Linked DNA regions of Ovis aries. The protein of the gene in region 5 purifies or fractionates together with the protein of the main gene of each other region. This does not show direct contact. Links are inferred from orthologs where the notes say so. Each region holds a gene or a part of one and is shown on either strand. Other genes may lie near its edges. The genes, in order: CCT8, SLMAP, PPFIA1, CTTNBP2NL, PPP2CB, CEP350 and PPP2R5D.

What was found.
Region 1: the proteins of PPP2CB (region 5) and CCT8 purify together in Homo sapiens (affinity purification with mass spectrometry; 4 studies listed by BioGRID and IntAct, with this or other methods). This does not show direct contact. The link is inferred for Ovis aries from reciprocal best matches to the Homo sapiens genes PPP2CB and CCT8.
Region 2: the proteins of PPP2CB (region 5) and SLMAP purify together in Homo sapiens (affinity purification with mass spectrometry; 3 studies listed by BioGRID and IntAct, counting the BioPlex papers as one, with this or other methods). This does not show direct contact. The link is inferred for Ovis aries from reciprocal best matches to the Homo sapiens genes PPP2CB and SLMAP.
Region 3: the proteins of PPP2CB (region 5) and PPFIA1 purify together in Homo sapiens (affinity purification with mass spectrometry; 4 studies listed by BioGRID and IntAct, counting the BioPlex papers as one, with this or other methods). This does not show direct contact. The link is inferred for Ovis aries from reciprocal best matches to the Homo sapiens genes PPP2CB and PPFIA1.
Region 4: the proteins of PPP2CB (region 5) and CTTNBP2NL purify together in Homo sapiens (affinity purification with mass spectrometry; 5 studies listed by BioGRID and IntAct, counting the BioPlex papers as one, with this or other methods). This does not show direct contact. The link is inferred for Ovis aries from reciprocal best matches to the Homo sapiens genes PPP2CB and CTTNBP2NL.
Region 6: the proteins of PPP2CB (region 5) and CEP350 purify together in Homo sapiens (affinity purification with mass spectrometry; 3 studies listed by BioGRID and IntAct, counting the BioPlex papers as one, with this or other methods). This does not show direct contact. The link is inferred for Ovis aries from reciprocal best matches to the Homo sapiens genes PPP2CB and CEP350.
Region 7: the proteins of PPP2CB (region 5) and PPP2R5D purify together in Homo sapiens (affinity purification with mass spectrometry; 8 studies listed by BioGRID and IntAct, counting the BioPlex papers as one, with this or other methods). This does not show direct contact. The link is inferred for Ovis aries from reciprocal best matches to the Homo sapiens genes PPP2CB and PPP2R5D.

Annotation. Positions count from the first base shown.
Region 1 is NC_056054.1:127,699,005-127,703,037, forward strand, and holds the start of CCT8 (T-complex protein 1 subunit theta), read left to right. Parts: upstream 1-1,233; 5' UTR 1,234-1,292; coding exon 1,293-1,352; intron 1,353-3,278; coding exon 3,279-3,369; intron 3,370-4,033. UniProt on the Homo sapiens protein: Component of the chaperonin-containing T-complex (TRiC), a molecular chaperone complex that assists the folding of actin, tubulin and other proteins upon ATP hydrolysis.
Region 2 is NC_056072.1:43,586,993-43,591,204, reverse strand, and holds the start of SLMAP (sarcolemmal membrane-associated protein), read left to right. Parts: upstream 1-1,412; 5' UTR 1,413-1,446; intron 1,447-1,647; 5' UTR 1,648-2,762; coding exon 2,763-2,960; exon of another isoform or gene 2,961-4,212. UniProt on the Homo sapiens protein: Associates with the striatin-interacting phosphatase and kinase (STRIPAK) core complex, forming the extended (SIKE1:SLMAP)STRIPAK complex.
Region 3 is NC_056074.1:43,864,122-43,867,621, reverse strand, and holds part of PPFIA1 (liprin-alpha-1), read right to left. Parts: intron 2,154-3,500; coding exon 2,018-2,153; intron 1-2,017. UniProt on the Homo sapiens protein: May regulate the disassembly of focal adhesions. May localize receptor-like tyrosine phosphatases type 2A at specific sites on the plasma membrane, possibly regulating their interaction with the extracellular environment and their association with substrates.
Region 4 is NC_056054.1:89,841,108-89,845,300, reverse strand, and holds the start of CTTNBP2NL (CTTNBP2 N-terminal-like protein), read right to left. Parts: upstream 2,801-4,193; 5' UTR 2,716-2,800; intron 1,398-2,715; exon of another isoform or gene 1,325-1,397; intron 1-1,324. UniProt on the Homo sapiens protein: Regulates lamellipodial actin dynamics in a CTTN-dependent manner. Associates with core striatin-interacting phosphatase and kinase (STRIPAK) complex to form CTTNBP2NL-STRIPAK complexes.
Region 5 is NC_056079.1:26,064,113-26,068,338, forward strand, and holds the start of PPP2CB (serine/threonine-protein phosphatase 2A catalytic subunit beta isoform), read right to left. Parts: upstream 2,801-4,226; 5' UTR 2,451-2,800; coding exon 2,349-2,450; intron 1-2,348.
Region 6 is NC_056065.1:60,698,403-60,701,902, reverse strand, and holds part of CEP350 (centrosome-associated protein 350), read right to left. Parts: intron 1,642-3,500; coding exon 1-1,641. UniProt on the Homo sapiens protein: Plays an essential role in centriole growth by stabilizing a procentriolar seed composed of at least, SASS6 and CPAP. Required for anchoring microtubules to the centrosomes and for the integrity of the microtubule network.
Region 7 is NC_056073.1:16,645,433-16,648,521, reverse strand, and holds the end of PPP2R5D (serine/threonine-protein phosphatase 2A 56 kDa regulatory subunit delta isoform), read right to left. Parts: coding exon 2,967-3,089; intron 2,322-2,966; coding exon 2,220-2,321; intron 2,127-2,219; coding exon 2,054-2,126; intron 1,938-2,053; coding exon 1,821-1,937; intron 1,685-1,820; coding exon 1,547-1,684; 3' UTR 501-1,546; downstream 1-500. Other genes in the region: MEA1 (male-enhanced antigen 1), read left to right, coding at 224-375. UniProt on the Homo sapiens protein: The B regulatory subunit might modulate substrate selectivity and catalytic activity, and might also direct the localization of the catalytic enzyme to a particular subcellular compartment.

The DNA.
Region 1 (4,033 bases), on a different chromosome or scaffold from region 5:
TTGGTTAGAGATGCCTCGCAAAAATATTTTTTCATAATTATGCACTTAAGTGCTAATTAGAAAAAGTTATAGTACATGTAACACATTTGATTATTCCTTAAGACACACTAAATCTGTCCCGATTTAAGGAAAATAAATCATTTGCAAGTGTCTGACCAAGGAACAAAAGACAAGCCAAACGTTCTATTCAGTTGTCTATATTTTCTACTAGGAGAGTGGATTACTTTCACTGTGTGAAATTATTCTTTGAAGTATTCTGCCATTATTCAGTCTTTTGAAATCAGTCATGTGCTGATGTGGGATGACACAGAGGTCAGGTTTTAAAGGACTGTGGGAAAGTAAAAGGGGTTTATATTTCCAAGAAAAAGCAGGAAAGGGATTTTCCAGGTGTTCCAGTGGTTAAGACATCATGCTTCCACTGCAGGGGGGCGGGGTTCCACTCCTGGCGGGGGAAATAAGATCTCACATGCTTGTGGGGCGGCCAAAAAACAGAAGAAAAAAGAAAAGGAGGAAAGAGGAATACAGTTGCCTAACAACGTGCATTTTGCAATCTAATCTGGGTAGAAATCCTAGTTTTAACACTACTAGCGCTGTGATCTTGTACAAACTAAATTGTAAATTGCAAAGTAATTAATAAAAGATTGACCACTAGCTAAGATACCGCACATAAAGCAAATAACGGGGCCTGGCACATATGAGCACTCAGTACGTAGTTTTCCTTTCAGATTTTCATTTATCACCTTCAAGTCCCCAGAGCTGCTACAGGGCCCAAGTCTGAGCGCAAGTTCAACCACAGATTTGGAGGATGAAGGCAGATCCTCGGCCTCGGGAAAAAAGGGGTGCCCACCTGGCTGATATCGTGGGAAGCTCTGGAAGATTTACACGGAAGCTACTCTTGGAAGGAGTTGCAAAACTCAAGGACAAAACTGACAACATTCAAAAGTCCCCAGCACAGAGCCTATGAGTCTAAGCGAAGGGAACGACCTCCGGGAGCGAGCCACATCCGCCAGGCAGCCTACGCGTGCGTCGGCAGGAAGACAGAAGGCCCAGCCCGATCGAGCCACCCCATCGATCGACCAGCTCGAGAATCGTCAACTCAGTTCTGGCGGCGCTAACTGCTCCTTCTCGCGAGGCTTCACAGACTAGGCCGCCGGGGGAAAGGGCGGGACCGGCTGAAGAGAAAGGAGGGGCGTGAGCCGGCCGCACGCTACGTTCCCAGGAAGCTGTGCGCGCCTCTCGTTTCTTCCAGGATCTCCTGAGAGGGCGCGTGAACGGCACCCTGCAGACTGGTCATGGCCCTCCACGTCCCCAAGGCCCCGGGCTTTGCCCAGATGCTCAAGGAGGGAGCGAAGGTAAGAAAAGGAGGAAGAGGGAGTGAGGTGGGAGAGCCGCGGCGGCCGCAGTCAAGAAGAAAAGCCTACCAACGGGCCCGGCGTGCCCACCCGACATAGCGGTCGGAGGGAAAGAAGATTCCAGAAACGGAGGTGTTCTCTGGAGAGCTTGGCCGCGGAGGGCCCCGGGCATTTCGAGTTTTTTTTTTTAAATGAACCCGGGAGAGGGGGGCAAGCGGCCAGAAACGGCGAGTGGACGACGAGGCCGCAGGCGGCGCGTTTTTTGCTTTGTAGCCTTACAGGGTGTGAAGGCCGCTCTTTGCATTTTTCCTCCGTCAGTAAAACGGGAGTGAGGAGGCTCTCCTTTGAGGGGCGCGAAGTAGGTGAAATAACGTAGGTGAGGTTGCTTTGAGTACTGCGAAACGGTTCCAGGAGCGGGTGGTCCAGGGAGGAGAGGGACGAGGCAACTCTTGCAAATGAGAAACGGCGAGCTCCCCATTTAGTTAGCAGAAATAGTGCATTATAGGATAAATCTTAGTTACAATCCCAATGGGCTCTGTTCTGAACTTAGCCAGCTTGAGGTAAAACTTAATCCTCTGGGTCTTACTTTCCTCATCTTTCAGTTGGGGAGATTGGACGGAAATAGTTGTAACCAACAGAGTAAGTGACACCCTGAGCTAAGTAAAGCTTTTGTTTTATGGCGAGATCTTGAAAGTAATTTCAACAGCATGGTTTTTTGTTTGTTTTTTTAATGTCTTAGACACACTGCTGTAAGTGTGTCTCTTAGGTTCAAATAGTTGCGTTCCCTTATTGTCACCCAGACTTGCTGTGCTTAAACGAATGTAGATACTGTGGTTCCATTTGTGGTAACAGTTTGAGGGAACTAGGTTTCTTGTTGGCGAGGATGCACTTTGGGGATAACGTGACTCTAGTAGGTAAGGAGGTTTACTGTAAGTATTGGTGAAAGAGCTTTGCTGAAAATGACATGAACTAATTTTTTTTTAAAAGGGAAGTGGCCGTATTTTTTTTATTCTGAGGCAGAAATAAGTGACCAAATAAGCAGAAGGATAATTTCAAATAATGATAAAGGAAATTGAAAGTGCGCCTCTAAAAAAAAATTATAAAGGAAAGTTTGGGGTAGAACAGTAAATAAAATGTTAAGGAAAGAACTCAGCTCTGTGCTTAGTGGCCAAGATTAAAGGCAGAAATGTTTCAGGCTAAGGGACCAAACTCACTGAGGATGAAGTGAGTTTGACTTGTTAAAACAGTAAGAAAAAAGATGTTCACATGAACAGTAGGCTCTTGAAATTTATCTGAGACTCACAAGTAAATCCCATGTCTAAAAGAAGTTCATTGTAAAACTTGAAAATTTGAGTACTGTGAGCAGTTCAGTTTTCAGTGTATACACGTTGGAATTAATGTGTACAAACGAACAGTTTGTTTCAGTTCAAATGAGAATTCAAAATCTGTATGCTTTAGTTCTAAAAATGTATAAGGCAAATATGTTAATTCCCTTTGAACATAGACCTGTTGACTCTACAGTGCTCAGGTTTTATCACATTCATACCACATTTCGGCTTTTAGAAAGAATTGGTAGACTCTGGAAAGGTATTTTTATAATCTGCAATGGTTCATATGCTTTCTCTAATCAGGCTTAGCACTCTTCTCTGCACTTTTCACTAAACTAAAAAAAATTAAGCTTTATGTTTTGATGTGTAAGTAGGTACTCATGGTCCCTAAAAATGTCATGCCTTATTCATTCAACTTGTGGACAAATCTGTGAATTAGGATGGTATCTGGTATCATAGGAACACCAAACACCATGCTTTACATACATAAATCTCATTTGATAATGTCAACAGTCTTTTGAGACAGGTACTATTATTTTACAGATGAAGAAATTATTGAGATTCATTGTCCTGCCTAATCAGAAATTTTCTTCTACAGCATTTTTCAGGATTAGAAGAGGCTGTGTACAGGAACATACAGGCTTGCAAAGAGCTGGCCCAAACAACTCGTACAGCATATGGACCAAATGGTAATTTCTAAATTCATGTTTAAAAAAAAATACAGTACTATAATATAATTTTGTGTAGTAGTTCTTTGAAACTTGTTTGAGGATATTATATGTAAATTGAGAATTTTAGCCATAATACACTGTAGTGTTGAAAATCATTTCACAGTTCAGTAACTCCTGTACAGTTTTCCTAATCTTTAATCAGCAGTTTGGATCTTTTTAGAAAAGTTGTAATCAAAATGTTACTTTTTGTCCTATTGAGAGGATAGAAAAGTTATGGTGCTTTCACCTTTGAGGTAGTACCATTGTTACAGCTGTGGAATAGTTCTCTTAAGTAAAATGACATAATTTAAGGGAGAAAAATTCTCTCTTGCTTCCCATCAACTGAATTAATTGATACAAATTTATGGAATAAGCAAAACACACTTTCAAGTAAATAATTTTAGTCTTTGTACATGTCAATATAATTTAAGTTGATTGAAAAAATATGAAATTGGCAGGAAAGAAATAATAGGTGTGCAGGCAGGGGAAGCCATTGAGCTGTGGCTTTAAGAATAGGTAGTATGTTTTGAGTTCTTACAAAGTTATTTCAAGGAATGGATAGCAAATTTTTGTTTCTTCACTGGATTTTCTTTGGTGTCTGGAGAGGGGTTTGAGTGATGATGCATTTCTTTTTCTGACTATT
Region 2 (4,212 bases), on a different chromosome or scaffold from region 5:
GTATGTACTTTTCAATCATGTATCAAATATTTATTTAGTCACTATTGCGTGCCAGGCATATTGGCCCATTGTTTCAAAGAGACTTATTCTTTTTCTCCCTGGAAACTTATGACGCCGTTCATCAAATACTATATTTATTGTGGTTTTCCTACCAGCCTTCTTGCAGTTCAGTTACCTCCCATAGAAGACCATCTCTGACTCCTTTAGCACCCAGTGCTTGCTTAGCCCTGATTACATCAAAGTGAAGTTATCTCTGTTTGTCACCCTTCTCTCCCCATCCCTATCTCATAGTACTCAGGTGTAATCTCAGAAGAAAAATTTAAGGTTTTATGCACCTACGTGTTTCCAGGTTCAGGACCGAGCTTGGGGCCGGGCCTCAATTCTGTATATACGAATTGAAATGCACTGTCCCTTACTCTTTTATGAGCAAATGGATTACTACCTTGAATTCTCACAACAGGTGAGTTAAGTATTATCTCCATGTAATTGATGACAAAAGGAGGCTTGGTTTAGAAATGTGCCCAAGGTCACACAGTGGTGAAGCCTGTTGTCAAAGGAATCTGAAGAATGAAGTCACCACTGATTCTAAATGAGTATGGCTCTTTTCTTCTATCTTTTTCTTGAAAATTTCGTTTAGATTTAGCGAAGTCTTTCCCTTTTGAGACTAATGACTCCTTATCTACCTTACTATTTTGAGTGCAGGAAATACCTCTGTCTTCATATTCGAAATTGTTCGACCTCTTTCTGGAAGCAACGCGATGTTAACTTTTCTGATATAACACTCATTTCGGGGTAGAATCTGAGTTAGGAGCCCTGGGGGGCAAGACAGGCCCAGTTTACAGTAAGGTCATTTGAAATGGAATGCAGGGACTAAGAAAGTTTTCCTCCGGGCAGGATACCTGGCAAGGGGAGAATGGACCTTAGATGCACAAATCCTAAGGCTTGTGGAATTTAATTGCTCACACCTAGGGCAGCTGTGGGGGACTGTGCTGCCCACAGCTAAGATGGATGCTAATAACATCTCCTTCGGATGAGTTTGTCCTCCTTGCTCGTTGGTATTTTCAACGAGGACTATAGTGAATAAAATGTAGGAAAAGCAGGCGCTTTCTTACCAAGATGGTAAAGTAGGAAGTTGGCAAGTTACGTTTAGAAAACCTTCAACAAGTCAAAAAAATTTTTATTGCCCTTAACCAAAATGGTAGTAAAGGTTGCCCCACGGTTTCGAAGCGTCTAACCCTTAACTAAGATGGCGTGTGGAGGCTTGTTGAAAATTGGCTTGCCCTCTTTTCTGCCCTTGACCAATATGGCTTCAGCGGCTTCGGTCACGTGACGCCGCGACTACGGCGCGGGAGAGGGGGTAGGAGGGCCCTTGAAGGGTGCGCGTTCCCGTGGCGGTGCACCGGGGAGGTTTCAGTCAGAGTCACTATGGCGGCTGGCGCTGGCAAGGTAAGCTGAGGCGGCGGGGCCAAGGGAAGGTGGACCCGTCGCGGCGTCCGGGCTCCCAATCCCCTGAGCCCGTCCGCAGAGAGGTCGGCCGAGGTCGTGGCCAGTCGCGGGGTTTGGCTGGGGTGGGTTGAGAGGGGCGAGGGCTGAAGCGGGCGGGCACCGGCGCCTGACGGCCGTTTGTTTTGATGTTTTCCCCCTCAGGTCGGAAAGTTTCCTGCCTCGTCGGTCACAGCCTGAGCGTGTCTCACCGGCCGCGAGTGGTGGAGGCTGCGGCGGACCCAACCCGGGGCCTCCAGGCCTCTCCCCCAATCTCCGGGCCAGCCTCCCTCCCCCACCTCCTCGTCCGCCCGGAGCTTCGGCTGCTGCCCCTGAGATGCGACCCTCGCGGGGGCGGCCCTGAGAAGAGGCGACCGGTGTGCTGAGCACCAGCCGGGAGCCCAGGCGACCAGGGACCAACTTCCTGCGGCCCAAGACCCCGGAGCCTCCCTCCGGGTCGCGCCTTGCTCGGTTCGCACCCGCCTGCGGAGCCGGATCCCCGCCCTGGTCGCGGGGACGCCCGCCAGGTGCCCGGGAGTCCCGCCTCGGCCGCTGCCCGCGCCCCCGCCGGCCCCAGCTCCTCGTGCCAAGGACCCCAGCCACCGCCGCCTGAGCCCGGGCGGTCCGGGCACCCGGTGCCACCTCCCGGGCGGCCTCCGCGCAGCAGGGGCAATGCAGACTGTCCCGCTGGCCGTCTAGAGCCCTCCGCCGCCTCCTCCATCGCCTTGTCCCACCACTCCCGAGGCCCTCGAGGACGGGCGGTGGCCGCCCAGGGGTGCTCAGCCGCACCTTTCTTCCGCCCGCAAGGACCCTTCTGGCACCGACCCTTCCTTCATGCTGCAGTGCTGCAACATTTCCGCCACCGAGGGGGAAAAGCGGCCACGATCCCAAACAAAACACAAGAATTGGCGTGTGACTCATCTGCTTGGATACCTCCAGCCCCCAAACTGTCTTCCAGGAGTTTTCTGGGCCGAAGCTGTCCGATGTTTGAGCCTTTACTTCCCAGGGAAGAAGATGGACTGAAAGCCGCCAGTTGGGGACTTTTGGGTGATCAAGGCGCTGCTGGGTTTTCAAGGAGGTGATGGGGCTTGCTCTGGCTTGTCTTCCCACCCAAGTGAAGAGTTGTTGATGTTCACTGGTTATGCTTAGACAATGTACAGTTTGCTTTAATTTAAAATTGCGGGGGTGGATAAGGGGGTCTAGGCTTGTGAAGGGCAGCTCGGATCCGGTGGAACTCCTCTTTGTCCCTGGTAGGAGAGACACCCCCAAGTCTGTCCTCGATGCCGTCAGCCTTGGCCATCTTCACTTGCCGCCCGAACTCACACCCGTTTCAGGAGCGTCATGTCTACCTGGACGAGCCCATTAAAATTGGCCGCTCCGTGGCCCGCTGTCGACCAGCGCAGAATAATGCTACCTTTGATTGCAAAGTGCTGTCCAGGAACCATGCTCTCGTCTGGTTTGATCACAAGACGGGAAAGGTAATGTTACTAAGTTGTCTAACAATCGTTGCTTTTCGTTTCCCTTGGCGCTTTCTGCGTAAATGTATGCAGGATCCCAGGGTTTGCACCCAGAGGAGACTTTTCAGCCAGGCGGGGAAACCCAACTTTTTGTGTGCCTGGTTCTAGTGACTGAAATGGAAAACAGAGAAGGAATTGTAATTAAATGCCTCGAGAGGGCGATGGCATCTTGATAACGTGGTCATTCCCAGTGAAATCCTAAACCCTAATGCGTTTTAGAAAGCTAGATAGTGAAACTTGGCTTCTTGCTTTCATTCTTTTCCGAAAGGTGAATTTGCAGTTCAGTGCTTGATGAAGAAAGCAGCACTTCCCAGAGCAATGCAGGGAATCTGTGGCCGGTACTATCCTGGGCTCAAGTGTCTCAGTGATGAGATGTAGTTAACACCATAGCTTTTAACTGAGGACCTTTCTAGCAAAGGGCAGTGTTTGTGTAAATTTACATTTTTAAAAGGTTTGATACGTATTTACCCATGAAGGAGTAATTTGCAGTTATCAAAGCTAATTTAATTAAGCATGAACAACTATAAGTTTATAATTTCAGAGTTTTGTTTGCAAGTTGGGTGAACAGATACCAATTGCTTTTGAAAATCACTGTTGATGTGCCCTTCAGCACTTTTTAAAAACAACTAATGCATACTTAGAAATCATTGTTAAAATTATTTTCTGAAAGTATATCCAGCTCTATCGATTATTGCATTACCTAGATGTTATAGGATGAATTTAGTTCTGATTATGTGTGAGTATTTTAGCATTTTTATGTTGGTACCCTAATTAACTGTACATGTAGATGCTTATGTCTTAATACAAGAAAAAAAAATTGAGTAAAAAGACCCTTTCAATTTTAAAACTATCTTTGTATGTGGAGAATACACTAAAGAGCTCATCTTTGTGCTTAAATCGCAAGTTTTAGTTAAGCTACTGAATCCGTTCCAACTTAGAATTAAGTTATGTAAGACTAATAATATCTCCGGTTTTACCTCCTGACTTTTTGGACCCTCTTGCTGAGTTTAATGATTAGGTCTTTTTTAAAAGAAGAATTTAAATCTTAGAAGAGTTGTGTTTTGAAATGAAGGAAATCTGAGCCTGAAAAGGAAGAGAGAAAGGAATACTCCTGAATCAAGGAATTATTATATAAATTGTTGTTCACAGAAAGGAGGAAAAGATTGCCCAAGTGCTCTGTGCTTGCATAATATCTATATCCTACTCTGTATGT
Region 3 (3,500 bases), on a different chromosome or scaffold from region 5:
CTCGCGGGTTCCCAGCCCTCCGTTTGCAGGCTGGTCTGAGCACCCACAGACAGGAGCGAGCACGGGCAGCCAGGGGACGGGAGGGCGAGCCCCCCGCACTCTCCTCCCGGGGCGCAGGCACTCGGGCTGTCCTGGGGGACAGCCTCTCGCATCGCAAGGCAGCTCTGTAATCAGGGACGCACAGAGAGTGCCCGCTGGGCCCCATGCCGCCCGCCCCCTCCCACAGCTCACACCCTTCTCTGCCTACAGGTTCACCCCCGTCAGCCCGGGCAGCACGTCCTCTCCCTCTTCCTGCTTAAAATCGCACCACGGGAACCAGCAGATTGCTCCTCCAGGGCTGCCTGCAGCGCCCACCGCGGGTCTCTGAGAGCTCCCCGGGAGCGGCCTCTACTGTCCCTCTCCCTGCCCAGTCTCTGCAAGCAGGCGGGGGGCCCACCCCACAGGGCAGCTCCCGGGGGCTCCAAGGACCCCGTGTTACCAAACCCCCTCCCCACCCGCCCAGCGTGTCTCTCCCTCAGCTCCAGGCCCCACCCTCCCTGGGGCTCGTCCTCAGTCCCTTGTGCCCTTCTCAACCTCGGAACGTGGGGTGGCCCCCGGCTCTACCCTTGCACCTCATCTCTCTCCACAGGCACCTGCCTGGCGACTTTATCTTGCTCATGCCTTTAAACACCATCTGCATGCCCGCAACCCCAGTCCACCTTGAGCTGAGTTGAGTCCTCTCCCGGATGCAGGCTGGAACACTCAGCTGCTGACCAGACTCGTCCCCTGGACAGGCCTGTCCACCTCCACAGGGCAGAGGCCCGGCTCTGAGCTCCTGCCTGGCAGCCCTCCTCACCGTAGCAAACAGGCTCTGGCCTCGAGCTGCTCAGGCCTGAGCCTGGGTCCTCCCTGATCCAGGCCGCTCTCTCCCTTGTCCCTGCCGGTTGACTCGACCCTTGATCTATCTCCGAGTGGCGGCTTCTCTTCCCGCCTCCAGGTCTCTGGTTCAAGGTCACCCTCCTGGTGTCACCTCGTTGGCCACCCCTGTTCACACACGATCGTCCCCTCCTCCTCGGACAACTCGGGCACTCTGGTCTCCTTTCCCTGCTCATTGCTGTCTGACAGGCTGTGCGGGTTTAAAAAGGGGTCCACAAATCCTTCCATCCTCCTCCCTTCAAGAGGCAGAAGGGGCAACTCCTGCTCAGCCCGAGCGAGGCAGGACTTCACAGCTCATGCTCGAAAACAGAAGTGAAGGTGTGCGGCTTCCGAACCAGGGCATGAAAGACCCCGGGCTACACCCTACGCTCTCACTCTCAGAGGGCGTTCCGAGGAAAGCCAGGCCACACAGAGATCTGCACAGCAGGGACCTGGGCCTGTCCCCAGCAGCCAGCTGAGTCTGAAAGCCTACCATCCAGCCCCGGGGAGCCTTCCCTAATCTGCGCCCTCAGGAGGCCCTGAGTCAGGCCCGCCTGGGAGAGGGACAGGAGCTGTGGGCTGTGGCCTGCTCACTGCGAGGTTACCGAGCTCTGCAGTGGTTCGTTACGCAGCAGTGGATAAAGAACACGCACGGTTTTTAAGTCACTGCTGGAGTCCTCGTTCCGACGACGTCTGGTCTAAACTAGCTTCCCGCTGAACGTGGGCGCTCAAAACACAGAGACATACGAAAAAACACACGCCATGAATGAGGCGAAAATACGAAGGCGCTTAACCTTCCAACGAGAATCTTCTCACTAAAACATGAGGCACGTGTGGATCCATTCACTCGTAGGACGGTTTCAAAACTGTGCTAATTAGTACTGTGCCGGGCCTCACAGGAAGCCACACGTTATCAAAATTGGTTCTTTAAAAAAAAAAAAAAAAAAAAAAACATGCCTTGTAAACTCTTAGCCAGAAAAAGGAAAATTCGAAGACGTAAAGCGATCTATCAACACTTGGTTCCAAAACCGTGTCAGGACCACAGTGTCGGGGGCGGGGGCCTCACAAGGTGCCCACCAGGGATAGGCACGGGGTGGCAGGGGTGGGGTGGGGGGGTCCTTGCCTTGGACGGCTCGTCGCGCAGCGCTGCCAGCCGGCCTTTCTGGGGGCGCCGCAGCACCGCCGCGCCGCTGAAGGAGTCTGCCGGCCCGTCGGCCACAGGGAACCTGAAGTCCGGGACGCTGCCCAGGTGCGGTCGGCTGGAACACACGGGAAAGAAGGATGCTGTTAGGAGAAAAGAGAGCTCACTCTGTCAGTCAAGCCAGAGCCTGTCGATCTGGAAAATTGGCAATTTCACAGAAAAGGGGCCGTGGGGCGGGCTCTGCCCTCCTGGCTCCAACAGCAGCAGGCCCACCTGCTGCCCTGCGAACACTCAGGTCTCAGCGCCACCAGCTGGGCAGCTCCCGTATGTAGGGAAGGCAGCGCTAAGGCGAGGGTGCGGCTGGCTGCCCGGTGCTCGGGGCTGCGGTCCCCCAGAGCCCACCCTCAGGTCCCGGGGCGGGGCTGCACCTGCTCTGCCAGCTCCTGGGCACCCACACCCCCTCTGGCCGGTGCCTGCTCTGCCCTCCACCTCCCGTGTGACGTCCATGGACCACAAACACCCGTCTCCCTGGAACACTGTCTGCACCGCTCTCAGCACTTCTGACGGCACCTCGACCGCCCACGGCACAAAGCCCTCGGACCCACAGCTCGGACCTGAGCCGCACGGTGTTTCCCAGGAGATGCAAGTCTGGAACCTCCCCGAGCCACACCTGTCTTCCCTCCCATCTCCCCTCCCTCCTGATGGAACCGCTCCTTTCTCTGCTCAACTTCCACCGCAGCACACTTGGGAGTCAGGTGGAAGCTACGACAGAGTCCTGCTTGGGACTGTGGACACTCGCGGGTCCTCTGAAGGCCACAGAGGCCTCTGGGTTGAGACGCCCCCCACCATCACCTCCCAGTCCCCTCCCAGAGTGCAGCCTCCATCGCTCTCCCCCTCCTCACCTGAGGCTCTTTCCTCCGGGAGAAGGTCTCAGAGACAAGGTGACCAATTCCACTGGGAGGTCCTGCCAAATACACTGAGCCCACCCTGCCTCTGATCCAGGCTTCAGTCCCCACTCCCCCGGCCTGGGCCAGCCTACCCTGCCCGGAAGCCAGCCCTGAGGCCCCACCTGTGCCGCCGAGTCACTGACCCCTGGAAAGCTGCCTCCTGGAGACACCCCTCCCTTGCCCAGCCGCTGCGGTCCCCGTCTTCAGAGCACAGCGGCCCCTACTACTCCCCGGCTGCCTCCTCTTCTCTCTCACTGACATGCAGGGGACTGGTGACCAGGCTTCTCCCTCTGAACCCCCAACTGCGCCAGGCCTTCGGGTCCCAGCACCAGCACCCTCCTCGTTGCCCAGTCTGCAGAGCAAGAGGCTGTGTCCACCTCCTCTTCCTCCACTGTCCAAACAGCCCTCCTCACACGCATCTCATCCACCCCGGGAGCAGGGGGTCTCCCCCTCTGACAACACCAGGCCCTCACCCTGGAGGAGCTCTGCGGGCAAGGCTGGCCATGTCCCCCATCCGT
Region 4 (4,193 bases), on a different chromosome or scaffold from region 5:
GTCTGAATAGCTAGAGTTTACCTTGCTTTTATTAATCCTTATCTCTGAAATTTAAAATGTGCTTTTAATTTTTATCCCCTGAATTTTGGTAGATGATACTGGTCTTGTAAAGCCAGTCAACATCATATATATATATTACACATCAGTTTCTCCTAGAGGAAAAAGCCCACCATAAAATAGGGGCTAGAGAGTAACCAAAGGCTACCTGACCAGATTAATCATAAACCTAGACCACTGAACCTGAATTTTCTTCAAACACTTCCTCCCTTTTGTTTCAAAAGAACTACACCTTCAAGGTTAACTGCAGTCTCCCTGAGCAACAGACCAGCCCACCTAGACTGGAAGTCACTCATTCCTAATCTAAAGCTCTTTATTTAGTTATCTGTACTGCTTCACTTGAAAGCATGCTGTTACGGACAGTCCAACAATATACACTGCATTCCTACCCACAACGACAACTCTGTAGATATACAACACGCTCAATTCACTGTGAAATACTAAAAGGCGATTTTTCATCAAATTTTCAGGAAGAAATAGGATAGAAAGCAAAAACGAAACGCAACTCAAACCTAAAAAAAAACAATCCTCAGAGGTTAGGTTCTCTTTCAAGTAATAGAGTAAAGGTACAAAGCGGGGTCGGGAAGGTTACTATTTCTCCTCCTCCAGAGTCAAAAAGTCTCGAAGCAGAGGAACTCTCGATACCGCCCCCCGCCCCCGCCCCAGCTCCATAGGAGAATAGAGGATTCAGGGGGAAGGCTCAGGAATACAGAATGGGGGATGGGAGGAACCCAAGTTGGGGAAGGCCGATTCGTCCGTGGAGCTGGCTGTCTAGGTCGGGTCTTTTGATTTTTGCATCGTCCCATCTCTCTTCTTTTTGAAAACACTGATTTTTATCTTATGGATAAAATTACCTCTGGTCCCTCCCTTGCGAGCAAGGACAGGTGTTGGAAGAGATGTCTGGCCTCCTAGGGGTACAAAATGGGGGCGGGGGCGGCAGTCTAAAGAATGGGAACCTGTACGCCTTCTCCCAAGGTTGAGGGGCTAGGTGAGGGACCTTTTAAATGAGGGGTATCAGGAAACCAGCCCCTTCTGGGAAGCTGGGATTGATGGGGGACAGTAAGTAGCTGCAAGCACCCTCGAAGGATGAGGAGCCGCCTCCTCAGGGAATACCGGGAGGTAGAGGAGACGGCCCCGCCCCCTCAGGGGATGGGCGCGAGTGGCAGCTGGTACGGTGGCGGGAGGACACCGGCGGTTCTACCCCTGTTTTTCTTTCGAGAACCTGGCCTCCCAGCCGCCGCCAAGCCCCGGCGCCAACGGCTCCTACCTTTTCCCGGCGCTCAAGGTTCCTCTCCCTGCCGCCTCCGCCACCCTCTCCATCCACAGCCCCTCGAGGCCCCGCCCCTCAACAGCCAGGCGGGGGCACTGGCATTCGGCAGAGCCAATGGCCTCCTCGCCTCTCCAACCCCGAAACCAATCCGCGCCGGCTGGAGGAGGGGCTTCTCCAATGTCATTTAGGCTCCTCCCGGGGCCCCAAGATCCCTTTTGTTTGGGGAGAGCCAAGCTGGGATTGAGCTCGCGTCACTTCCGGGAGGAAGCTCAGTCCTCCTGCCCCGGCTCGGGGTGGGCTTGCGCCCCTCCGGGCCCGGATTCTGCAACTTTCCACCTTCTATGGGCTTTCGGGACCAGATGGTGGCGAGTGCTTCGTGTGTACCCTCGTTGTACGGGAAGCTCAGGAATGGGTTTCGGGTGTCCTGACTGACTGGGCACATTAACGTTTCATCCAAAATGTTAATAAATGAAGTGCGCTCTGGTGTTTAGAAAACCTGCTGTTGAAAACCTGGTAACGTGGCTTGCCTGTTCTACCCCCCGACACACTTTTTTTTTTTTTTTTGGCGGGGGGCGGGGGAGAGGGGGACAAAGCGTGTGCTAGAGAAGGGAGCAAAGATGAAAAACCCAGAGACCCCTCTTTTCACATTATATTTGGAAGAGAATAGTAGCTTCTGGAGCCCCTGGAACCCCTGGAGTGGAGACGCCGGGTAGCTTTCCAACCCGACTTCCTTTCCAGGTAGAAATCGAATGAATAAAATTTCTGTGTGTCAGTGTTTTCTACGCTGTTTTCCAAATGAGAATTTTTGTGTCTTTGGCCCCATTGTACTGTAGGCTGCCGCAGCCCTGCTGGGACAAAGGACAGTAGAGGATGCAAGGAATGTCTGTCCCTCGTGAACACAGGAATGCAGATCTGGTGGCAGCAAGCCCTTGTTTAGTCGCTAAGTCACCTCCGACTCTTTTGTGACGCAATGGGTCCGCCAGGCTTTTCTGTCCATCGACTTTTCCAGGCAAGAATACTGGAGTGGGTTGCCATTTCCTCCTCCAGGGCATCTTTCTGATCCAGAGATCGAACCCGCATCTCCTGCATTGCAGGTGGATTCTTTACCGCTGAGCCACCTGGGAAGCCCCGCACTAAGCCCTCCAGCACCAAATAACCCAGAGAAGGGCGAGGGTGCATCCCTTCCTGAGGTCAAAGTTTCTGGATTTCTTTATCCCTTTCACGGATTCCAGTTCAACTGGTTAAACGAATAATAATCACATTGCTTTAAATATAATACATGCTTACAATTATTTATAATGCACAAGTAATATGAATTAATTTCAATGTATTATTTCTAATATTAACAATTATTATTAAGCAAAGCAGTAGTGAGGCCTCCTACTCACCTAGGCAGACTGTCTCAAGACAGATCCAGCTCTGTCCACACGCAGTTTGCAGTCAGGTGGAGGGATGTAGTCAGTCGGCAAACATAGGGAAGTTCGAAGGAAGTAAACCAGTATTAATGCCATTTTGTTGCATAAGTGCTCAGTCAGGTCTGACGCTTTTGTAACTGCATGGATTGTAGTCCACCAGGCTCCTTTGTCCATGGGATTTTCCTGGCAAGAATGCTGGATTGTGTTGCCATTTCCTCCTCCAGGGGATCTTCCCCACTCAAAGATCAAACCCTTGTCTCTTGCACTGGCAGGTGGATTCTTTACCACTGAGCCACCTGGGAAGCCCTATTAATGCCATTCAGTTCAGTCGCTCAGTTGTGTCCGACCCCATGCCAGGAATCCCTGTCCATCACCAACTCCTGGAGCTTCTCAAACAGATGTCCATCGAGTTGGTGATGACATCCAACCATCTCATCTTCTGTCGTCCCCTTCTCCTGCCTTCACTCTTTCCCAGCATCAGGGTCTTTTCAAATGAGTCAGTAGTTCACATCAGGTAGACAAAGTATTGGAGTTTCAGCTTCAGCATCAGTCCTTCCAATGAATATTCAGGACTGATCTCCTTTAGGATGGACTGGTTGGATCTTCTTGCAGTCCAAGGGACTCTCAAGAGTCTTCTCCAACACCACAGTTCAAAAGCATCAATTCTTTGGTGCTCAGGTTTCTTTATAGTCCAACTCTCACATCCATACATGACTACTGGAAAAGACCATAGCTTTGACTAGATGGACTTTTGTTGGCAAAGTAATGTCTCTGCTTTTTAATATGCTGTCTAGGTTGCCATTCCTGCAAGTTATTTTCATATAATGATATTTAATCTTCACACAGGAGACATGAATTTGATCCCTGGGTTGGGAAGATCCCCTGCAAAAAGGAACAGCTACCCACGCCAGTATTCTTGCCTGGAGAATTTCATGGACAGAGAAGCCTGGTGGGCTACAGTCCATAGGGTCTCAAAGAGTCGAACACAGCTGCGCAGGCATGCACACATACGCACACAAATGTAATATCTTTCCTAACCTGTAAGATAGACCATTGGTGCCTATTTTACAGAGAAGAGAGAAATTCAGAGAAATCAAGTAAAGCCATAGAACTAGTAAATGGAAAACAAAGACCTTCCAACAAGGATGTGGATTCCAACTCTGTGCTATATTCTGCTCTCTATACACTTGGCTTTCAGGAGGAGGGCTGGTTCAGAGAGTGAGTCTGGATGACCTCCAACTAGCATTAGAAACAGAAATGGGCTCCATGTCTCCCTCTATTGACTGCTGGCTTGAGAATGTCCTCTGTATGTATATTTGAAGGACAAGAGGACTGTACTGAAGGGCTTCACAGCAGCTCAGATGCTTCTGAAGTAACAAATAGGAAATTCAGAACTTCAGAAAGACATCATTCCCTGTGTTCTGAAAGGCAAGATGAAGGGCCAGGGACAT
Region 5 (4,226 bases):
AGCCAGGGTCTGAACGCAGGCTGGCCATTATAAACAAATGCTGCACTCAGCAGGAAAAAGGAGGGCAGAGGTAGGGAAGTAAAATGGAGCTGTAAGGTTAGATGACAGAAAATCAACACCACAAAGGTTTGCCACAGCTGCTGGCAAGGGGCTCCACACTAAGCACCGCTGAGAAGGGTAGGGGCTGCGGGGGGCACGCCACTCTGCTCCAGCCCTCCACATCCCTGGCAAAAGCAGAGGATAAAGATAAATGACAAAGCACTGCCACTTAAAAATTCGTGTTTGGTGGAAAAGTACAAATATTCAGAGAAAAAAGTAGGTAAGATATAAGCTTAAATATACCTCAAAGAAACTAGGGACTGGCAGTTCAACTTATTTAGGAGCTGAAGTCAAAATAATCTCTCTGGACAAATTCAGAAAGCTTGCTCAGGTGACGAAGGATCAAGTGTGATCGAGGAGGGGTGCAACATTCTTCTCCCGAAAGACGTCTTAAAATTATCAGACAGTCAGAGGGAAAAACTGATTCAACTACCAACTTTGCCCACCACTTAAAGTCTATGTCTACTAGTCACAGAGAGGTTAACTGACTCAGCTAATTTCACAACTGGGTATTTCACCCGACAGTCAAGCCTGAGAGAGACAGCGATTTAAAACATCAATCTTAAAACGTGAAATTACAGGTTATCACACAAGAAAATTGAATGTAGCCAGAACCTGAAGCAGTCCATAAGCAATTTGTCTCAGAAACACAAATATACCACTTTTTGGTAGTTCTATTTACAGAAATACATCCTCCTGTATCAATACACAGCTATTTAGTAGACTCACAGACATAGAAAACAAACTAAGGGTTACCAAAAGGGGATGGGGAGGGGATAAATTAGCAGTTTGCGATTAACATATACACACTACTTTATGTAAAAGAAACAAGAACCTTCTGTATAGCACAGAGAACTATACCCAATGTCACGTAATAACCTATAATGAAAAAGAACCTGAAAAAGAATATTGTGTATTTATAGCTGAACAAGTTTGTTGAACACTTAAATGCAACATTATACTTTTAAAAAAAAATTGTTAGTACATAAAAACCCAAAACAACGTTACACTTAATTTAAAAAATAAAACACTATTTTAAACTTAGCATTAACTCTTCCATTCCTAAGACATTTAATTTTAAGGGTACTCTATAAATAATATTAATAAAATCTTTCCTTCAATGCCTTTCTGAAGCATCCTGCTTTCCAAACAAAATCAAGAAAGTCTTAGGGAGTATGGCTTAAAAATAAATAACAATTCAAAAGCATTAAAGAATAAATAATTTTGTTACTCCTCCACGAGACCTTTTTACATAAAAATAGTCTAGGCTATAAAAGATGAATGAGAAAAAATGTAAAGTCCAAAATAATTCCAGTGATTAAGAAAAAAATGGATACAGAATTCAGAAGATTGTCTACGATCACACAATCAAGAGCGACTGAAAACAGTAAACCACCTGCATATTTTATTACTTTTTGGAAATGAAAAAAAAACCTTACATGTAACAGCAACAGAAATAACCTTCTGAAAAGTGCTACCCTTCAGGAGAAACACATACCCCACTTATCATTTCAGGTAAGCACTGTTGCCAAACTTAAGACTTGCCGTCTTGTTTCTGAAAAATCAAACATTTTTGCTTCCAAAGAGCCTCTCAACGTGAAGACCAGCCACCATCTGTCTCAACTAGAGTCAACTTCTATTTTAAAAAATCACAGTCTGCCATCACACCCACCTCTCTACAAACAAATGCCTGACGCGTTACCAAGTATTAGCGATGTTTGAAGGGCCGAGTCACCTGAGAAAAAGCCTCTGTTTATTATTACCACGCGCGTTGATAATTCACAACACCCAGGCTCATTTCGGTGCACTTTCCATTACGAGGCTGCAGGAGATTAATCTGCTTGGCGGCTGAAGCTTCGGGATTGCCAGTCCGCCCGGGTTAATGCTGGGGTTGTCAGCAACCCTCACTAGAGCGCCGGTCACCCCACAATCACACTTGGGTGATGAATTCCAGGTGTCACGGAGCCCCCGCCCACCCATCCCAGACGCCTTAGGTCTGGATCCGGGGCGGTGCGGGGGGGGGGGGGGGGTCCGGGCCTAACCAAGGGCTGTGTCCCGAGAGGGGTCCTGGAAAGGCCCGGCCCCGCCCAGGGGCTGAAGCCGAGCATGAGACGCAGCTCCGTCTGGACCCGGTGCCGGGATGAAGGCGGGCGGGCGGCCCGGGAGGGGAAAGACGAGGGGTCCCCGCACCGCCCACCCCGCACCCAGCCGAAGCTCCCCGGCCGCACCTCGCCCCTCTTCTCGCTCACCTTTTCACACAGCGTCCGGACTTGGTTCTCGTTAAGCTGTTTACACTCATTCAGCTGCTCGACCCACTGGTCCAGGTCCTTAGTGAACGCCTTGTCGTCCATGGCGGCCCCCGCCCCTCCGCCGCCGCCTCCTCCCGCCCCCCGCGCGCCCCCGCCCCGGGCGCCGCTCCCCTAGCCCCCCGCCGCCGCCGCCGCCGCCGCCCAGCTCCCGGCGGGGGAGGGAGGAGCCGGGCACTGCGGACCCCGCGCCCCGCCCAAGCCCCTCGGGCGGCTCCGAGCGCGCGGCCTCCGGGAGACCCCCGCCCGCCCCGGCCCGCCGGCCCGCGCGCCCCGAGAGTCGGTGAAGGCCGCGGGGACGTGCGGGGCTTCCGCGCAGCTGCCGCCGGAGGATGGGCACCCGCCGCCTGCCGCCCGCCAGCCGCTCTCGCCTCCCTGGCTCCTTCTCTCTCGCTCTTTCTCTCCCCTCCCTCCGGCTTTCCGTCATCGCCCGGGCATTTCCGCCGGGAAAAAAGGCGAGCGGGCGGCGCCGCCGGGCCCGGGACTCGAGAAGGCCTGCAGCGCCCCGTGTGGCGCGGCGGAGAAACAGGCCGACGGGCGCGCCGCTGTCTCGCTTTTCCCTTTTGTATCGTACTTCTCCACTCGGGTCCAGACCAGTCTCTCCTCGCTTTTCCCTTTACGTCCTTTTCTCTGAGAATTTTTTTTTCTTCTTCTTTTTTAGCGCTATGGAGAGAGAACTGGGAAGCTTGTGCTTCTCCTTGACCACATAGTCTCCCCAGAGTCTAGCACTGTCCCATAGCCGGCGTTCATTACCTATTAAACAGATACATACGTAAATTCTTCCATATCTTAGCTTTGTCATTAAGCAAGCTGTAGGGCACCGACATCTCGAATCCTCCCTTTAGGCATCAGAAACACGAATCGATTACTCTGTGATTATCAATCAGTTGTCCCTTCCAGCTCCAGCATTCTTCACCACATTTATGCAGTGTTTACTGAGCTCTATTGATTTGTTCACTCAGCAAATGTTCATCGAGCAACTGCTAACTGCCAGATACCCTGGAGAGCAGGTGGTCACCAACCATACTTCCTCTACTAGACAAGTGGCGGCAGGCAGCATCCTTTATCAGAAGGCAAGAGCCCCCTCTTGGCATCGCCAACCTCCTCGCTGTGTCCTTGGACAATGACCAGATTGCCCCCAGCCTCTGAGTCCTCATTTGTTGCAAAGGTGCGGTAAGGCCTGCCTTTTCAAGTTGTGAAGATTAAATTCTACAAGAGCTTATCCGATAGTACAGAATGGAACTCATGTTCCTTGCCTTACTATCCCTACTAGGCAACAGCTACCGAAAGGTTTTCTCCCCGGGGCAAAACGTTGAAGTTGCCTGGAGAAGGGAAAAGAAATTACACCGATTTGTTTTTTGGACGGTGGCAGAGGACAAATGTGTGAAAGACTGAGGTCTTTTCGGGAAGCTATAAATACTCCTAGCGTCGGAAGTCAGTCATATGGTGGGAAATATGGCTGGAAAGCTCCTGTTCTCAAGTGCCTTGTAAATAGCAGCAAAGCAGTTGAGGACAGAACGTGAAAAGATGGCGAAACAGTACTGAACAAACAGGATACCTGCCGTGATTCAGGAGATTTGCGGTCTCCGAGGAGGTTCGTCTATAAAGGTTGAAAGGTTGAGTTTCAGCTAAACCTGTCAAGCTCAGAATGAAATGAGAGTAAGAATAGTGTTTTTGGAGTTCCTGGAGAAGATGGATTGAGAATCAAAATATACCTTGAGGAGAGATGGGAAGGACAGATTGTGTTTAGGGAGGGAGGTCCTTCCTAAGCAAATGTGTTTGAGATTAATGTGAGAGAATGCTCTTAAAGCTGAGAGTACG
Region 6 (3,500 bases), on a different chromosome or scaffold from region 5:
GGGTAGGAAGCTTTTCTGAAACTTCGGGATATAAGTTCTCTTCCTTTTCAGTCAACTGTTGTTGCCTCTTTAATTCTTCAGAAAAGGTATTATCTAAAGTATCGTCTTCTACAACAGAAGAAACCTTTTCTGTGGCATCAGAAACAAGGTCTTTGTTTTTCTCTGAAGACATCAGTAAGTCCACTGAATTCTGCTGGTGAATATGGGCTTCGAGTACCCCAGAAATGTCCTGTATATTGTCGGTCTCTACTTTAAGGCTTCTATCAACTGAGGCTTCTGTGTCATGCATACTGGGTAGAGATTTCTCATAAAAATATTCAATTGTATCCTTTTCTCTGTCAGACTTGGGACCCTCTGTATCTTTTTGTTCTTGATTATAATATTGATATTGCTCATCGGAATAAGAGTCTTCGTCTTCATTTATGTCTACATAGTCATCAAAGTTTTCTGGAATGTGAGATATTTTTTGAGGAGGAGCAAAAATCCCATGCTTCTCTTTGCACACAAAGTATACAATGCCATCATATGTTCCATTGTTATTTCCTTCAGGTTTATCCAACTCCACTCCAGCCCAAAACCCTTTGGCAAAACTAGTCACACCTTTGAATCGAAGAGTTCCTGGCTGAACATTGCCAATCAATACCCTATCACCAATGTGGAAATCAAGTAATTCATCTGCAAGAGAAGCTGAAGCCAAGGAAGGGGATTCAGTAACTCCTCGTTCATGCTCTACATCACTGCGCTCCTTATTTTTCATAAGCTCAGTGGGGGACTTGAGTTCTAACAGCCTTTCAGAGTGGACACTGCTATGAATAGAAAGGCTTTTCTCACTGAGGCACTCGCTGATTTCATCATCACTACCAAAGCTAGTGGCTCTGCTTCTAGAGATGCTTGTTGCCTGTAACTTCTCTCTGCAAGACTGAGAGTCTTTCCTGAGTGACAACAAAGATGCCACCTCAAAGTTATCTTTGTACAATTCAGCTGAAATGTCTTTCTTGAAAGACGATACATCAAAATCTTCAGAGTACGACATCTCTTTAGATGCAAGTACATGCTGTGACCAAGATGAGTCCCTGCTCTTTATATTCTTTTGTACATGAGTCTCTTTTTCTGATTGGATGTTTGGACTATGACTGATATCTTCATTTGACTGTCCCTCTTTTGTTTCTGTTTTATGAAGATTTTCAATGGCTAATCTAACTAAGTCTTTCTGAACATTTATAGAATCTAAAGGAAGATCTTTTCTTGAAAGAATTTCAGATGAATCTCCCTGTTCCAGGTCTAGCTTCAGGAAGACATCAGCCTTCCTAGACTGTTTGGAATAGGCATCTTCAATTGCACTCTCCTCCAATTTTGCATAGTCTACTTCTTGTATTTCTGATTTTTGACTAGACTCTTCTTCAGCCTTGGCACCTGATACATCCAGAATTCTATAAGATGCGTTTAATTCTTTAAGAAGAGATAATGAAGGGACATTTTCTAGAGAATCTCCAGATTCAGCTCTTGTCCTCCTTGATGATCTCAGAATCGGAGAAGTCTGAAAGTGCTCTTCTGTCCGACCATCCAATTCAGTCATTCTCTTTGCGTAGGCAGATGAAGATTTTTCTGATACTGATCTTTCAGAACCTGTCAATGCAGCATCTTAAAAGGGGAAGAAGAAAAAAAAAATCACATCAAAATTGTCTAATCACACCTTTCAATTTCTGAAACCAAAGTTTAAATAAAAACCAAATATTGATGAGAAAAAGCTCTGGTCAGTAAAAATGACCTGCTTTATAGGTTACCATATGTAGTAAATTTTTATTTTATGAATATACACTATACTAAAAATAAATAGAACATTTAAAAATAACTTAAAGAGCTGCACTCAATATGCCAGCAAATTTGGAAAACTCAGCAGTGGCCACAGGACTGGAAAAGGTCAGTTTTCATTCCAATTCCAAAGAAAGGCAATGCCAAAGAATGCTCAAACTACCACACAATTGCACTCATCTCACATGCTAGTAAAGTAATGCTCAAAATTCTCCAAGCCAGGCTTCAGCAATACATTAGACCGTGAACTTCCAGATGTTCAAGCTGGTTTTACCAAAGGCAGAGGAACCAGAGATCAAATTGCCAACATCCGCTGGATCATCAAAAAGGCAAGAGAAGTCCAGAAAAACATCTCTTTCTGCTTTACTGACTATGCCAAAGCCTTTGACTATGTGGATCACAATAAACTGTGGAAAATTCTGAAAGAGATGGGAATACTAGACCACCTGACCTGCCTCTTGAGAAACCTATATGCAGGTCAGGAAGCAACAGTTAGAACTGGACATGGAACAACAGACTGGTTCCAAAAAGGAAAAGGAGTACATCAAGGCTGTATATTGTCACCCTGCTTATTTAACTTCTATGCAGAGTACATCATGAGAAACGCTGGGCTGGAAGAGCACAAGCTGGAATCAAGATTGCCGGGAGAAATATCAATAACCTTACATATGCAGATGATACCACCCTTATGGCAGAAAGTGAAGAGGAACTAAAAGGCCTCTTGATGAAAGTGAAAGAGGAGAGTGAAAAAGTTGGCTTAAAGCTCAACGTTCAGAAAACGAAGACCATGGCATCTGGTCCCATCACTTCATGGCAAATAGATGGGGAAACAGTGGAAACAGTGTCAGACTTTATTTTTTTGGGCTCCAAAATCACTGCAGGTGGTGACTGCAGCCATGAAATTAAAAGGCGCTTACTCCTTGGAAGAAAAGTTATGACCAACCTAGATGGCATATTCAAAAGCAGAGACATTTCTTTGCCAATAAAGGTCTGTCTAGTCAAGGCTATGGTTTTTCCAGTGGTCATGTATGGATGTGAGAGTTGGACTGTGAAGAAGGCTGAGCACTGAAGAATTGATGCTTTTGAACTGTGGTGTTGGAGAAGACTCTTGAGAGTCTCTTGGACTGCAAGGAGATCCAACCAGTCCATTCTGAAGGAGATCAACCCTGGGATTTCTTTGGAAGGACTGATGCTGAAGCTGAAGCTCCAGTACTTTGGCCACCTCATGCGAAGAGTTGACTCATTGGAAAAGACCCTGATGCTGGGAGGGATTGGGGGCAGGAGGAGAAGGAGACGACAGAGGATGAGATGTCTGGATGGCATCACCAACTCGATGGCCATGAGTTTGGGTTAACTCCGGGAGTTGGTGATGGACAGGGAGGCCTGGCATGCTGTGATTCATGGGGTTCCAAAGAGTCGGACATGACTGAGCAACTGCACTGAATTGAAAAATCTGAAGTTTGGTATAATTTTTTAAGTGTTGTCTTAAGTTAGAAAATTAAGAAAAATGAATCAAAGTTTATGGAGAAGCTGATTCTCAAATCATGCAAACACAGAACTGGATGAAGCATATTACCTATGTTCTTCAAATAGAAAAGCTATAAAGGAGGGACAAATGTACTAGTATATATGCCTCTAAAAGAATGAATTTCCCCAGGGACTTCAACTAACCTCTTGAATGAAAAAAA
Region 7 (3,089 bases), on a different chromosome or scaffold from region 5:
CTGCTCCTAAAAGAATAGTTTGTAATCTAAGATTTTGCAGACTGTAGAATCCAGGTGAAATGCTATTCTTTCTAGACTGGCAGGATGGGCAGGCTTCCTTAGGAATAACTGGACAAATTCAGTGACCTTACTAGTCCAGAATCTCAGAGTTAATTCAACGAATGGGGAGGGGAGCTGGTCCCATTGTTCCAACCCACTAACGGGTCTCTGCCTGTGATTTCAGAACATGTAGAACTGGTGAAAAGGACGATGGCTGGCATAAGCCTGCCTGCGCCAGGGGTTCCTGCCTGGGCTCGCGAGATATCAGATGCCCAGTGGGAAGATGTGGTACAGAAGGCCCTCCAAGCCCGGCAGGCCGCCCCTGCCTGGAAGTGACCACCCTGAGAGCTGCTGTAACTCCCTACATTCCAGGCCAGAACCAGCACAGGACTGAACATACCCTGGTTGTCACATCCATCTCCATCCTCCCCAGCCCTCCTCCACATCAAGGCAAATCAGACTTCTTCTCAGAGACCCACTTTATTCAGTTCTGTACATATGGGGACATCGGCCCAAGCCCAACCCACCTTAGCATGTATCATTCTGTGGAGAATAAAGCACCCTATGTACACAGCCAAAAGCTGCACTGCCTGTGCCCTCGGAACCTGGGTCTGGCCCTCCCCAGCCCCTCACCCCTCCAAGGTACCTGAAAGGGACAAATGAGGACCTGCCCAGCATCAACATAAACAAGGAAATAAATAGGTGTTGGGGGGAGCCATGCTTGGAGCACTGCTCCCTGCTTCCTTCTTGGCTTTGGGGACCAACAGCACAGGAAAGCAGTCAGCCCCGGGGTGGTCCCTTCCATGTCAGTGATCCCAGGGTTGCTGCTCACCGGAGAGGGGGCATAGGGTTGGGCATCTGTTCATCCCCTTCTCTCGGTCCCTTTGGGCCCTCTATTCATCAGCTGTGGTCCAGAGCCTATGCTTTTCTCCTTTTGCCCTCCCATGTTGTCTTGGTCAGGCAAGGGGTAAGAGGAAATAATGCAGACCCATCAGCCTGCACGCCTCTGGGACTGGGGGCCTATTTGGGCCATTGGGGGTTGGCTCCCCTCTGGCTAATTCACTCCAGGGGCCAGTGGGGCTTGACAGAACTTTGGTGAGAATCGTCTCCTGCTGCCCCCTACAGGCTTGCAGGGAGGGAGACGAGGGGGCACCTGGGGCCGAAGGGGAGAGGAGCGTGTTATTTCTGTGTGTATTTCTCAGAGCAGCCTCAGGTAGCTGTGGGGTGAGGAGCAGTAGGGGGCCAGGCATCCCCACGTCACTGTCAGGGTGCGGAGCACCGCCGTGCCCAGCCTGTCTGAACTAGGCGCAGGGAGGCATGAACACCTCTGGGGGAGAAGAGGGGCCACTCTCTGGGTGCCCCTGCTTCTAGGGCTGCATCCCCCCCCTCCCCAGAGCAGAGAGGCCCTGCCTTGCCCCAAGTCAGCCAGTGGGGAGCAGAGGGTGGAGGGCTGGGGCAGTGTCCCAGGGCCGAGTGGGCCGTTGCCCTGCGGCGGGAGGCGAGGAGGTCAGAGGGCCTCCTGGCTGGCAGTTAGGAACTCTTCGGCCCGCTTGTGCGCCTCCAGTGCCTTGATGGTGTACACGTCCTGGGGCAGCTCGGACTTCCGCCGGAGCAGCACTTTCTCCTTCTTGATGTCCTTCAGCATCTGTGTGTGCATGTGTAGAGGGCAGGGGGTGATGACCGAGTCCCCCCACCATCTTCCTCCCCTTAGTCCCCAGCTCTGCAGCTCCGGCCTCCTCTCCCTCCCAGGGCTGTCTTGTCTTTGTGCTCCCCGCTCCTACCTGCACGGCCTCTGTCTCCACCGTCCTCTTCAGAAGCTGGATGTCCTCTGCCGTGGGGGTCTCGGTCTCCATCGAGTACACGGGAGGCAGAGGGGGAGGTGCTCGGAACATGGGATACTGGGAGGAAAGGAGGCGGACAAGTGGCCAGAGCCACCCGGGTGGTGTGTGGCCCTGTCCCTCCCCCACCCCCAGCGGGGACCTCTCGGTGCAGAGCGATGGCAGAACCAGCTCACCTGGGGATTAAGTCGGGCCAGCTCCTCAATCTTTTGCCACATCTCTTCTCTCTCCTTCATGCGAAACCTGCCCCTAGAGAGGGAGCAAAGACAGGATTTGGATGGGCTTGAGAGAGAAGCACGGGGGCTGGTGTGGAAGATGAACATCCCCCAAGGAGAGACTCACTTCTGCTTCTCAGCCTTGTACTGTTGTGTACAGTCATCAAACAGCTTCTGATTCATCTCCATAAACAGCTTCAGGGCATTGTAGATCAGCCCGTGGATTGTCCTGCGGCCAGGAAGAAAGATGAGGTAGATTAGAGAAGGCACTACCATTACTGTGCCAGGGCCTCAGTTCATTCTCCCACGAGGCATCTCTGCTGAGAGCTTTCCAGCAGACTCCTCCCATCCCATCAGCCTCTGCAGCTATAAGCTCATTGCTCTGGACAGATCATGTGACTTGAGACTGGCATTCAGGCCCTTTACAAATATGGGTCTGCCTGTCCATCCTTGCCTGAAACCTGCACTCCAAGAGCCCACTCTTTCCCATTACTTCTCATTCTTCCACCCAGCACTAATGGCCTCCCAGCACACTTGCTTTTAGCAGGAAAGCTTTTTTACGACGCTGGGATTTAATACATTCTAAGATGATCACATCAGCTTCTCACAACATAGAATTAACTCTCCAAAGCTGCAGAATATCTGACCTCAAGAAGAGATGTGATAAAGGCCACTAATCTGGTGCTGGGTGGCACAGATCTCCCATGTGGGTATCTTCTCCCCAGTCAGTCCCTCAAGGCCCTGTTAATATACAGTGGGCACCAGCCCCGGCTTGCTGAGGGACCAGGTGAGACCATTGGCTCTTGAGTCCATCCCCACCCTCCCATATTCCAAAACCAGATCCTCACTGCCCAGCGCCACCCCAGTTCCCTACTTGTTCCAGTGGCTCTTGGAGTTCCTGTAGAGTGCAGGGAACATGATGGGGAGGACTCGGGCGGCGTTGTCACTTATCAGGCTCATGATGTATTCATTGTTCCAGTAATAGAGGGCACGCTCC